Linked DNA regions of Arabidopsis thaliana. The protein of the gene in region 1 interacts with the protein of each later gene in a pairwise test. Each region holds a gene or a part of one and is shown in the gene's direction. Other genes may lie near its edges.

What was found.
Region 2: the proteins of AT1G48450 (region 1) and AT1G30475 interact in a two-hybrid assay, tested with the Arabidopsis thaliana proteins (one large-scale study listed by BioGRID).

Annotation. Positions count from the first base shown.
Region 1 is NC_003070.9:17,906,330-17,913,185, reverse strand, and holds AT1G48450 (alanine-tRNA ligase, putative (DUF760)), read left to right. Parts: upstream 1-2,712; 5' UTR 2,713-2,840; coding exon 2,841-2,972; intron 2,973-3,218; coding exon 3,219-3,514; intron 3,515-3,596; coding exon 3,597-4,440; 3' UTR 4,441-4,484; coding exon of another isoform or gene 4,485-4,528; 3' UTR 4,529-4,683; downstream 4,684-6,856. Other genes in the region: AT1G48460 (tRNA-processing ribonuclease BN), read right to left, coding at 37-255, 372-712, 1,073-1,402, 1,490-1,532, 1,628-1,717; AT1G48440 (B-cell receptor-associated 31-like protein), read right to left, coding at 4,859-4,937, 5,025-5,080, 5,718-5,800, 5,940-6,111; AT1G48430 (Dihydroxyacetone kinase), read left to right, coding at 6,497-6,536, 6,672-6,745, 6,822-6,856.
Region 2 is NC_003070.9:10,786,496-10,793,483, reverse strand, and holds AT1G30475 (uncharacterized protein), read left to right. Parts: upstream 1-3,540; coding exon 3,541-3,625; exon of another isoform or gene 3,626-3,764; coding exon 3,765-3,851; intron 3,852-4,106; coding exon 4,107-4,252; intron 4,253-4,495; coding exon 4,496-4,571; coding exon of another isoform or gene 4,572-4,663; exon of another isoform or gene 4,664-4,801; coding exon 4,802-4,983; 3' UTR 4,984-5,258; downstream 5,259-6,988. Other genes in the region: DRT111 (D111/G-patch domain-containing protein), read right to left, coding at 1,061-1,354, 2,300-3,169; AT1G30473 (Heavy metal transport/detoxification superfamily protein), read right to left, coding at 5,377-5,990, 6,077-6,155, 6,243-6,269.

The DNA of each region.
Region 1 (6,856 bases):
ATTTGGCTACATCTAACAATCACTAAACACTGAGATCTAGTAGTTTTCACCTACAGGTCTAGAAGGAAAGAGGCGCATAAGAAAAGTGATAAACGACCAGAGACACATAACAGCTAGAAACTGCAAAGTCACAACCAAACCAACTAGTGCAACTCCTCGCTCTGTTATTTCAGCAGTCGTTGCCGCATCTTTCATCATAAACATCAGCCTCTGAACAAAAGTCGCTGCTCTTGTCACCTGATACAGCCTATACACCTGCCATGACATACACAACCATAGTTACTCAAAACAAGACTACAACATCATGGACCACAAGAAGATGGGCAGACAAACTTAAGACCAAAATGGTCAAAATCAGAATATAAGTTTACCTCAAAGACTATTGGAACAATGGGCCAACAGGATGAGCCACGTCTTTCAAGCCGAGCCTCGAAAACTCTTTGAACTGCACAGCCAACCAAGAAAGGAAGCACTGCAATCAAAGCATCTATTCCAAGAGCTGGCCAAGTCATGTAAACAGCAAATACGGGAACTACAACTTTTAAACCCATCGTGAGGAATGCAGACGTAAGGTATCCCCTCAGTCCAGTGATCAGACCCCATCTCTTGGAGCTGAAGTCTAAGTACGGCCTCTGCACTCGGTCAGTCACAGACAGGAATATCGCAAGACCAGCATAAAACACCGTCTCAAAGCAAAAAGAAGTAACAATTTCTGCATCAAGAAATTATAATAAGAGAGAGCATCAAAATGAGTATCATACAACAAGAGATAGATCATTTGCTAAGTCTCTTAGCTTTAGGAGAGTTATGAGATCTCGTTTAGGTACTTTCTAAGGCTCAGGTCATGTGTTCTTGATAATAGTGAAAAAAAGGATTCTAATATTGCACATCAGAAAACATGTACTAAGCCTATCAAAACCTCAAAGCCAAAGCCTACTACACTAAAACATAATGAGTTAGCAGATGTAACACCACTAAGATAGATAGCTTCTACTCCATTTGTTCCTTCCTAGGATTCATATAAGTCATAATCCGATGTTAAACATTAAAGCAGTAGTAAAACCTGACCTACCAGCAACAGTGTCGTTTTTGAAGGTAGCTTCAATGATACCACTTAGAAAGAACTGAGGAAGAATCAACGAAGAAATCAAAACAACAGGAGCCAAAACCCACAAGAAAGAACCTTTCTCTTCTTGAAACGGAGCTGAAACCAGTTTACTTTCTTCAACCAGCTGATGAGTCAGACCATTGAAAGAAACAGAACCTGATTTCCCACGGAACAGCTCAGCTCGAGCATAGTTACTCTTATCCGATTGCTTCTTCTCAGGTCTTGAGTCAGATTGAGAAGAAGAACACGCTACACGAACTCGGCTCAATTGCGGTTTGTTCCAAAGGAGGGTTTCTTAAACAAGAATGAAAATGAGAAAAAGGATCAGTCTTTATGCTACAATCTGGGTGAAGTAGGAGGATTTAAGATAGAGATACTTACGTCTGGAATCAAGTTTGTGACGCGTCGCAAATGTGGAAGAAGCCTATAGAATCAGGAGATATTGACAAATTTTAGGATAAGGTTTTGGAAGAATCGAAATGGAAAAAAATGAAATTTTGATGGTTAAATTTCACTTACAGGAGGAGAAGGAGGAAGAGAGAGTAAACGTGGAGATGAAAATCGAAGTCTTGGAGGAAGAAACCCTAAGCAAATTGCTTTCGATTCCATTTTTGTTAGGGTTTTTTGTGTTCTCTCAGCAGCTTAAACCCAGGCTTTGAAATAAATCTCTTCACTGTCTTTATTCTAAAAGAAAATTCTTTTCTGACATTTTATTTTTTGGAATTGTTTTCTTTGAAATGGGTTAAAAATTAAACTGTCCTTCTGATTGCATTTATTTTCTATGGTTTTACAATGGGCCTTTTATGTATTTTAGCTTGGCCCAGTTGAATTTTTTTTTTTGCACAAACCCAATTTTTTTTTATGTATTTCCTTCTGTTCGGTTATTTCGGTTTTTTTTGCACATACCCAGTTAAAAACCGAATTACCCGAAAACCGAACCTACCCGAACCGAACCTAATATCGGATCAATTCAGCATACTTTTCCAAAAAATTTAACAAAAAAAACGAAAACCGATATAACCGAACCGAACCGAAACGTTAAACCGAACTTTGATTGAGAAAGAAGTTGAGGCAAAATAATAGTGAAGATCGGATAAAAATGGGTGAAGTTGTAGAAAGAGGAGGCTCAGCTGTAACCTTTGGATACTTTAGCATCATTCTACTACCCACCACACTTTCACGGTGGTAGTAGCCGTAAGTCCGGCCTTTTTTTCATCATCGCCACCGTTTTTCTTATTTTATTAGCAAAAACGAAAAACCTTTTAAAAAAATTGTAGATTCACAGAAGACAAAATAACTTTTTTTAAACGAAATCACTGAGAAACGAAAAATCAGATAGAAACGACGACGACATTCTTACACACCGATTGGGGTAAAACTTTTTAGACGCGAAAGGCGAGAGAAACCCTAATTGTCTTGATGGGTCGTATTCTGGGCTATATATGTTTCCCATAATGGTCTAAAATCCCGCTTAATGGGCTTTGAGAAATATAAATATGAGCCCAACTTCTATTGTGTCAAACATGAAAAATTACGAAATTAATTTCCCGTAATTATCAAAAGAAAAAACGTGAGTGGGTATTATTGGAAGAGATAAGAGTCATAAACCATCCACACTAACCGGTTTAATCACTATTTATCGACATCATCTTCTCCTACATTCTAGGTTTCTTCTTCATTTCTCCTTTCTCTGGCCAAAGTTCCGACTTTTTGCTTCTCCCAGAGGCTAATCATGGACGCTGTGGCGGCGAATTTGTTTCAATCTCCTTCCTTACTGCGTCAAACTTCCGAAAGGTTGATATTTTCGACGCCCAACTGTCCTGGCTTCATGCGAATTAGCTCCGGACCTCAATTTCGTCTCAGAGTAGGTCTTATTTCTACTGAGTTTGATTTACTAAACCCTAGACAACATTGACATTTATAGCTTTCCCGAATCATCTTTGTTTGTGCTTAATCTACCCCATAATCGTATATCTTCCAATGAAATTCGAGAATTCAGATTCTGTGTAAAAAAATGGAACTTTTAAGGTTTCTTCGTGTAAATTTCTCATAAGTAAAAAAATTGGCTTGACTATATTGTAATTTGAATCTGTTGTCTCTCTGTATGCAGCAAAACTCTTCTCTTAAATTCTCGAGACCATTTCAAAGCGGAACAACTTGTGTTAAATCTCGGAGAAGCTTTGTGGTTAAAGCTTCAGCTTCTGGTGATGCTTCAACAGAATCAATCGCGCCGCTTCAGTTGAAGTCTCCTGTGGGACAGTTTCTGTCACAGATATTAGTGAGCCATCCTCATCTTGTTCCAGCAGCTGTTGAACAGCAGCTTGAACAGCTCCAAATTGATCGAGACGCTGAAGAACAGAGTAAAGATGCATCCTCTGTCCTTGGAACAGACATTGTTCTCTACAGGTTTGTCATATGCTGATATTAATTACCACTCGGCTATTATATAGGTTTGGATATTGAATTAGATTGTTTCTTGGGTCTTTAGGAGAATTGCTGAAGTTAAGGAGAAAGAGAGAAGAAGGGCCTTGGAAGAGATTTTGTATGCGTTAGTGGTTCAGAAGTTCATGGATGCTAATGTTACACTTGTACCATCCATAACCTCTTCATCTGCGGATCCATCTGGTCGAGTTGATACTTGGCCAACTCTAGATGGGGAACTTGAGAGACTTCACTCGCCTGAAGTTTATGAGATGATTCAGAATCATCTTTCCATCATTCTTAAAAACCGCACTGATGATCTGACAGCAGTTGCGCAGATAAGCAAACTTGGAGTTGGACAGGTATATGCTGCTTCGGTGATGTATGGGTATTTCCTGAAGAGGATCGATCAAAGGTTTCAGCTTGAGAAGACGATGAGGATTCTCCCAGGTGGGTCAGATGAAGGTGAGACTAGCATTGAGCAAGCAGGCCGAGATGTAGAGAGAAACTTCTATGAAGAAGCAGAAGAGACTTATCAGGCTGTTTCCTCAAACCAAGACGTTGGTTCGTTTGTAGGAGGGATCAATGCCAGTGGCGGTTTTAGCAGTGATATGAAGCAATCCCGGTTAAAGACATACGTTATGTCCTTTGATGGAGAAACCCTTCAAAGGTACGCTACAATAAGATCTAGAGAATCGGTTGGGATAATTGAGAAGCATACAGAAGCATTGTTTGGGAGGCCAGAGATTGTGATAACGCCACAAGGCACTATTGATTCCTCGAAGGACGAGCATATCAAGATCAGCTTCAAGGGATTGAAGAGGCTTGTGTTGGAGGCTGTGACGTTTGGTTCTTTCCTCTGGGACGTGGAGAGCCATGTAGACTCAAGGTATCACTTCGTACTGAACTGAAATGGCCTCTGTGGTTTATGAGGATGTGCCACATTCTTTGAGAGGGTTTGGGGATTTGTTGTTTGTAATATATGCGACTGTGAACTGACCAACTAATATCAATACCCATTTTATGGTAATACTACATTCGCGATCAGTTTGTGTTATTCTTCTCGTTTACATCTTGAAGTGCATCGTTGTTGTTTAACAAAATTAGTGTCTGTAAATGATAATTCTGGACATGAAAAATTAAGGTTGTTCTTGAAATATGATCAAAGAAATGGACACTGATGATATACACATATAGTGTGCAAAGGCTGTTCACGATACTCTTAGTTTCATTCAGGTCCAATAATATTAGAACGTAAAAATGCAATAAAAAAAAGCTTTACTTATATAATGGTTTTGAGGAACCAACTCCCTATACTCGTGAAGATTATTACTCTTCCTTGAATCTCTTCTCCGTTGCCTCCAAGCGCTCCAGGTCTTTGTTGTATTTGCAGATGCGGTAGATGCACCTGTCAATGAATAAAAGAGATATCAATAAAACTACGCGAGACCCTGTCTGTGAGTGACTGATAATAGCTGATGATGTTACAACTTACCAGTAGAGTAGAATTCCTGCAGCGCATAGAACCACGTTCCTCTGAGCCTTGTAGATCTGTGGTACAATGCAAACGCACAACTCGTTAGCAAGCAAGCTGAGACATTTCAGGGAAAGAGAAGGAACTAAGGGGTGAATTAAATATCCAAGTGTTTGATTTTCAGTTTTTCACTATGTATAATTGATCCTGGCGACTCGCAACTGCATACCCAAAAAGGTTTGAATACAGTGCATGACCAGAAAACTGAGGGATGAACTAAACATCCAAGAGTGGTGATGAAGCTTCACCAAGAATCAATTGCCAACAATTCACAAGAGCAAAGTATAAACTGAACTATGAATGACAATCGTGCCGATGGTATAAAGAAAGTCACATGTTGCTATTTGACAGTAGCTAGAACTACGATTAAAAGATATATGAGTACATCAATGAAGGGTAAGACCTAAAAAAATGCATTGACACTAACAAGTTAGACAGTGTTTTGTAGCTCTAATCTATGCAACTTCCTCAGACAAAGAAAGCCAATTCTCAGAAGTTTTACTAACAAATATTGATCTTTAGACTAAAGATGGGAGAAAATGACAAGGATGAAACTCACAAATCTAACAATTTACTATTCAAAAAAAGATTCATACACATAGAATTCAGCTATAGAAGAATCAAAGACAAAGGTGATCAAGGAATGGTACTTACAGATTTCTCGTAGCGATCACGTTCTGTAGCAGTGCAAACCTCAGATGAACAAGATAGTCTATGCTCAGCCTTCCAGTAAATATCTGAATGAAATCAAAACCAAATAAGCAAAAGCACACAAAGGTACCAAATCCACAGAATCACTCGCGGCTCAAAACCCTAACTATACATATTCCGACTACGAAATAGATAGATAGAGCGAGAGAGAGGAGAGGAGGTTACCGAGGAGCTGAAATCCGGCGAAGGCGACGATGGAAGCAGCAGGTTGGAGAATCAATGAGACAAGCTGAACTACACGTTTCTTAAGAAGCATAGGGTAAGGGAGAGTCAACACGAGGGTGATTACTACTTCGACGGCCACCACATACGATAGAATCAGCCATTGCAACGCCATTGTTGTTCGTCTTTTTCTGGATCTCTCTCTCTCTCTATCTCTATTCCGTGTGAAGTAGACGAAGAATAATAATAGACGAACCGTGTGCGTGGAACACGTGCCTATGCTTAACCATTTTTTCTTTATCTTACTAATTAAGTTATTTTCTTACTTAATGGGCTCTCACCTCCGGCCCAATATCTCCATATACCGGTTTTATTGTGCTGATTATCGGTTTATTTCGATTTAACGGTTAGCTTTCAAGAACAAATACAGAAACTAGTCACTCTCTTCTTCTTCTCTGCCATTGTTGACTCTTGAAGTCTCAATTTTTTCTCTTCTTTATTTCTCCGTATGAACTTCTCCGATTTTATGGTTTTTATATCCTTGAAAGCTAGCTAGCACCATGGTTCCTCCGGCTAAAAAATTCATCAACAACCCCAACGGTTCGTGATCCCTCGTCTCCGTTTGTGTTTCGAATCGCTAGCTCTCTGTTCTAGATAGTTTATCTCATATATGGTAGTTGCATGCTCTTGAAATATCAATTGATAGAGAGAATGAACATAAGCTGTTTATTGCAGATGTTGTAACCGAGTTCATCGAAGGTCTCGTCGAAACTTATCCTGGACTTCAGTATTTGGATGGTCTTCCCGAGGTTAAAAAAATTCACTTTTTTCGATTCCTTCCATGGATGTGTGCAAAATCTCAGCTTATTTATGATGAATTCACAGATCAAAGTTGTACTAAGAGCTGATGTCTCAGCTGC
Region 2 (6,988 bases), 7.1 Mb from region 1:
TTATTTGACCCATTCATTTTCGTTTCATGTGTTCTGAATAGTTTTTTATCAGTGATCTGCTTCATTTTTCATTTTTGTTTTGTGTTTCTGGTAGTTGTTGTAATAATTAAGGGAAGATATCAAGATAGTGACTTTGAAAGTGTGTAAATGCACGAGGGGTCTATATAGGTCCAAAATTATTCGTAATATTTTGAACTTTGAATAAAAGTTTATTAAAGTATGGTGTTGAAAATGTAAATGTAGGTTTGATGATTGAGAGCTTTAGGACATTGAATTTTGTGCAGCACCAAAACAAGCAATACTTTTGATTTTTTCATGATACGGTGCTCCGTTTCCTGCAGGTTGATGATACATTGTCGTTTTACTTTTTTTAAGCTGTACATATTGTAACATTGACAAATTAACCCGTACAATGATTTCGATTTTTGTTTGAATATTGAGTACTGTTGTAAGCGTTTGTTTATGTTGACTGATATATATGTAGTGAATAATATACATAAAATATTACTTCTCCTATAATTAGTGCTTGAGAAATTAGGTGCCAATAAAAATGATGATCATACTAAAATGACTATAGAGAATTTTTCAATCAACAAAATGAATAAACGTTACGTTTTTATTTATGAAATTTATCTTTTGATCAAATATAAGAAGACTCTTTTTTTTCGTCATATAAGAAGACTCTTTTGATGCTATTCTTCTCATTAAAAGTTTGTACATTTCTGTGTCCTGAAATCAACGATTTTGGGCCTAGTAGCCCAAATTCTATTAACTCGATATTAACTCGAATCGTATACACTCGACCCATTAGTCTTTTTTGTTACTATATTGTCTCATGACCCATTAGTACTGGATTGTGACTATTTCATATGTTAAATCAAACCATGACAGAAAAAGCAGGAACATTTCTTGATCCTTGTGAAGCTACTTTGAACAACAATAAAGAGATAATCCCAAGATTTCTAAGTACTTTACAAATGTTTTTAAAACCTCATCTATGGTTTCTTTCTCTAACAAGAATCTCCTAGAAGATGAAGTTTCTTCTTTGTCTTAGGAGTTATTAATAGCCAGGGATTTCACCTGGAACTGGAGCCAACTCGTTCTTACTGAATTTCTCTTCATCATAGAACGTTGCACGTACGGTTCTTCCTCCAAAGTATCTCCCATCGAGGTCTACAAGGGCTTTAGTTGTTTCCTCGGGTCTTGAAAACTGAACAAAGATTCTTACTGCTTCGTGTACAGGGAAGTTCGGTTCAGTGATCTCGAATATCAGTACACGAGTGACTGTACCGTATTTGCCACACTCGCCTCCTACCTCATCTTCTAGCTCATCATCTACTTGTCCTGGCCCAACCTTCAGACACAGAGAAAACAGGTGATGGGTCAACCAGAATTGATACATGAGACAAGGAAGATACGATTTTTCCAACAAGTACTTGTTATGGTGAAAACAATCAGAATAACAAGAATGTGCCTACGTTTATGACAATCAATGTGAAGATGCATTCATTCACATACCAATAACTACATGGTTGGAATTTCCATCAAAAATTAGTCAAGAAATGAAAAAAAAAAACACAGAAAGAATAGATCTTGCGAGTTATTACAGTAATCCAAGAACCATAAAAATTACTTCATCAAATGCCAACCCCTACGGATTCATTTGTCAACTCTCTAGTATTTGGCAATCCAAGCTTAAAGCCTCAGGTTAGGCTATCCCCAAAAACCAAAGTACGGTTCCAAATGCTTATTTGACTATTTGAGGGAAAGATACTGTAACTTAAACTGTTGTTTCCAAAGAGTAGGCAATCTAAATTCTATAACAATCCAGCAGTGTACTAGGCTACCATAACATAAGTAACACTCTAAGCTACAAGCTTCACCAACAAAGAATTATCATCACAAAACTGCCAAAGCTTTTAACTTCACGATAGCTTGAAAAAATCAACATAGTCACAAAAGGTCCTACTTTCCAATGGCATCCCATTACTCAATTCCATTTCCACAGAGACATCTTTGTCAACCGTAATTCAATACTACGCCCTCACATGCTGCCAACAATTAGCAGTAACAATTTCTTAACTAAGACCACATCAAATGTTGGAATACATTAATATCATTCTAACAGACCGTTCTAAATCATTGTAGCAAAGTGTGTCCTAGTATAACAACACGTTTGATTTGAATAAGTTCTAAATTGACTTTGGCCTACTAATACTGATTCAACTAAGACTGTGGCATCCAAACTCAAGAACTGAAGAATCCATAAGCTGATAAGAGATGTTATTGAAACGCATACCATGTTTCTAAGAAGCAAAACCCTGGTTGGTTCACCATTGATATTAACACTCTTAACAACCTTCTTCTCCGCCGAAGAAGATTTATTCTCACTAGCATTGACAATGACACCAGCTCTACGATCAGTCTTCTTAGCCATCAATGGCGTAGTAATCCCTTGCTCTGATTTCCCAAGCCCTTGTCCTTGTTTCCATCCCATCTTCGCCATCATCCTCTGAGCAGCTGTCATCTGTCCACCTGCTCCTACTCCTAACCCACTCGTCTCCGATTTCCCAATACTAAACCCATCAACATTCCCCGGCGGAGACGAAGATCTTCCCTTCCCACCACTTCCACCACCACTCATAGCAGCGCGTCTCTTCCACGCTTCCTCACCGGAGATATTCAACCGAGACGGATCACTGTTATCTCTCTCTCTCTCCTTCTCCCTCTCTTCTCTTTCTCTCTTATCTCTTTCCTCATCCTCTTGCCTTCTCTTATCCATCTCTCGTTTCATCTCAGCTTCCGTAGCTTTCCTCTTCTTCTCCCTCTTATACTCCTCGTAATCGTTAGGTCTCGCTGGATCGTACTCTTCAATCACCGATGAAGTCACACCAACCAATGCAGGCTGATGCGAAGGTGCTGATTCGTTCGCCGGAATAAGCACCGATTGCGATGAATTCGAAGGAGGAGGAGGCTTGTACGGAGCCGAAACGATAGGTTTAGGTTTGTTGAGAGGTCTTAAGATTGTTTGCGGGGGAGCAAAAGCTGGTGGTTTGCGAAGTGTAGGTGGAGCCATTTTGGTACTGCTTGACCAGACGGAAGAGGAGTTTCCACTGGGTTTCTCATCATCGGTCGGTGGAGGAAGATCTCCGTATAATCCACCAAGCATTTTTTCGCCGCCGGTAAAGAGACTCAAAATTCACGGTTCGCTTTCAATTGGAAAGATCTGCTCAAATTAGGGTTTTTAATTTTTTCCGATCAGCCTTAGTAATAATAAATAAAACAAATATCATTTTGTTGGAAAATAAAAAACCGACAAACAAAGGAGAAATATTTTGTCCTTTTATTTTATTTTCTGGGCTATTTAGATTCTTGCAATAGAAGCCAACGCTTTAAAATTGATTTGTGCGAGAATTTTACATAAACCCTAAGAAAGATCTTTGTTTTTTCCGTCTTTTTGCGTTTTAGTCTTCAGGTGCGATTCACGTTCCTCATCTTTTTTGTTCTTCTTATAAACTATTTATTTGCGTTTCGTCCTCTATGATCGAGAAGCTTCGAGGAGCAACCAAAATCCCAAATTTTTCCTCGACAAAAAATCTACCTGCTTTGATCCAAATCTCTATGGGTTTTTATCATTAATCGAATTTCAAAATTGATGAATCCATAATTTTTTTCTCTATTCGATTTATGAGAAATTGATTTTTTTTTTTATTTTTCTCCCTTGTGAAATAGGTTAAAGATTATTGTTTTGTTGCTGTTTGTAGTTATGCCGGTAATGAATCCATCATTGTGTATTGGTACACAAACATCGGTGTACCTCGCTCCTCGTGAGAAATCTTTTACGAGTAATGGTATGTCTCTTCTAAATCTCAACACTTGTTGGCTCTTAAGTTTACAATTGCTTCTTTGGAAAATTCTTTGAAATTGAGTTTGGATTGCTCTTGACAAATTGAAGAAACTAGACTTGTTGTTGTTATTGATATCTCAGAGCTTTAGTGAGTGTTGTTGTAGCATTGATTCTTGCTTTAGTCCCATCGTTCGAGCTTGCTTTTATTGAATGAACAATGGAATTCTAAAGCTCTTCTTCTACTTGCTGTCTGTAATAGGAAACTCTCAAAGGCGTTATCCTACAAGCGTTTCTATGCAACGCCAGCCTTGGAGCCAAAGTAAATTCCCTTCTCTCCAGGATGCAGTGCAACCAGTTGTCGTCTCTAAGAATAAAAGACCAGTCTTTGCATGTAACTCTGCGCTGGTAGGTTCCATTCATGACTTTGCAGCCTTTAAGTTTAAGTGTTTTAAATCTTTAGCTGTTGGGATAACTTCATCACACACCATTTTGCTCACATAACTTAATTACACATCATAAGCCATTTTGCTTGTTTTATGAACAAGATCCTTTTGCTCTTATGGCCGATAATAGTTTATTTTCCGGTATTCTCTTCCTAAGTGTCTCTGAAACGCTAGCTGTTTACTTATTCTGATTTGTTTTCTGCAGAATTCAAAATGCAGTCAAGGACAAACACAGACCGTTACACGGCAATCACCAACAATCACACAAGCTCCTACTCATGGTAAATTGTTTCATCCCCTTCTCTATGTTGAACAACTATTTTGCGTTTCTAACAAACAAGAGGGGCTTAAAAAACCATACGATTCTAGCTAATATGAAACAGTTATTTTGAACTCAAATTGTGGCTTGCTATGGTTCTTATTCTTGAGAATGTGCTTTAACAGAAACGGACTGGTCTATTCTTGTTTGTATCTTCAGAATTTATTTTTTTAGCCTTAACTTAAATATCAGGAAAAGTTAAATCCCCAAAGCTTGATGACGGTGGAAACGGGTTCCCACCTCGGGATGATGGTGGTGGTGGTGGTGGCGGAGGCGGTGGAGGGAGCTCTTCAGGTGGATTCTTCCTTTTCGGGTTTCTTTTGTTCATGGGATACTTGAAAGATTTGGAGGGCGAACATGAAAACAACCATTAAATCGGAGGAAAACATGATGCACAAGCACAACAGACAAATCTCAAGACAAGTATTCTCCAAGAGAAATCTCTGTATCAAAAACAATAGATTCTAGTACTAGCAATAGGCACAGATTTGAGTTGTTATTTATGTTTTCTCTGTTGGGTTATGAATGAGATTCTTGTTCCGTGACACAAACAAAGCTCATCTTATCCAAATGTTTATGGAACCAGGTTTGGGAGATGCAGAGAATCACACATAAATGAATTCAAAATGTACCCTTGTTCTTTTGTTTTAAAAGTTTGCCAGACTTGAGAAATGTTCACTATCGGCAATTGGCAAAAGATACGAAACTTAAAAACAATTCTTTTGCTTAGTATATGTATCAGAGACATAATCAACAGAACAAGTAGCTTAGGTGACAACCTGTTTCTGCTCCCCGTAATGCAACTTAGGGTGCATCTTAAACGGTTGGGGTGCTGACTGGAACATGTTAACATTAGGTGGCATTGGAACTTGTGCTTGTTGCTGCATCATTAGTGGTCGTTGTTGCTGCATCATTGGTGGTTGCATCATTGGTGGATAGGGCATCATTGGATGCGGAGGCCGCAACTGCGACGATGTAGTAGAATTGAAGCCAAAGCCAGGAGGAACATTCTCAAACTTTGATGGGACATGCCAGTTTCGGTTTCGCATCGGTAAAGGCTGAACAACTTTTGATTTACTGCTGAAACACCATAAAAGAGAAAGCATTTTTAGTATCCCAGACTTCTTCTTCTTCTGCTGCATCATCTTCTCTTGGAATTGACGTTCCATGGGTTTAGGATCATAAGATGAATTAGTAGAGTCAGAAGAAGAGTAGTCTTCTGAATCACTGTTTAGATCATCATCATCAAGCTGGTACTTGACTGAGAAAAGCTCTGTTTTTCTGTCATGTTTATTAAGTTTACGAACCAGAGCCATGGGTTCTACGTCACCTCTGACTGTCATGAGCCCTTTTTCGATGTTATACTCCACTTCCTCTACACCTATTTCCATTGGAAACAAAGTATTTAAATCATCATGTTTAAAGACATATGAGCCACGCAATTAAAAGCTTTGAAGTATTTTTTACCAGAGATACTCTGCAATTTCATGCTTGCTTTTTTTTGGCAACCAATGCAACACTTTAGATCGACTTTTAGTATGCACGTCTGCAAAAATATACACAGAAAATCATTAGCAACTGAAAAACAGAGAGAGAGAGATAGATTGAAAGATTGAGAGACGGGAAGAAGTACCCGGACGGATTGGTTTGGGTTCGCCATTGAAGGAAGCTTGGTGAAAAGAAGAAGAAGCAAACCCTAAACTATGTAACTAGATGGAGAAAAAGAAATTGTACATAGGCATCGTTAAATCTTATATATGCAAGGGAGAGAATCAATAAACTTTCCATATTTAGCAGACTTTTCCATTAATAAGTTAAGGTAATGATACATTTATTGACGTAGATGATTAGTCATTACTGTTTGTTTTCATATCTTGATGTATATTTGAAGATTCTGGAGGATAATGAAAGCTTAGTATTTCAATTCTCCACAATGGAGATTTGCCAACGTTAATATCCAAACTCAAGCTCAGATATCTCATGTAAAGATTCTTTGAGTGTTTTTCATGATGCAAATTTTTGTGTCTGGTTTTCGTCTAGACCAAGCTCTCAATTCTTTTGAGTTTTGGTATGAAGATCTCCGAAATATACAATGTCTACTCGAAAGACTTTTGCTCTTGTTGCGATGACAGAATCGATTTCTCTGTTCACGACAGAAGCATCAAACAACAAGGAACAAGTGAAAAATTAATAGCAACAACTTTACAAGACACTTGATGAGTCTAGCTGAGGTAAAAGATTATACTAATAAAATATGAAAAGCTAGTAACAAATTTTGGTCGACAATAATGTTGAATAAAAAATACCGGATTTGGAGATGATACAATGAAGTAAACAAACAAGGAAAAGAAAAAAATAGAATAATAAATTGTACCCAAA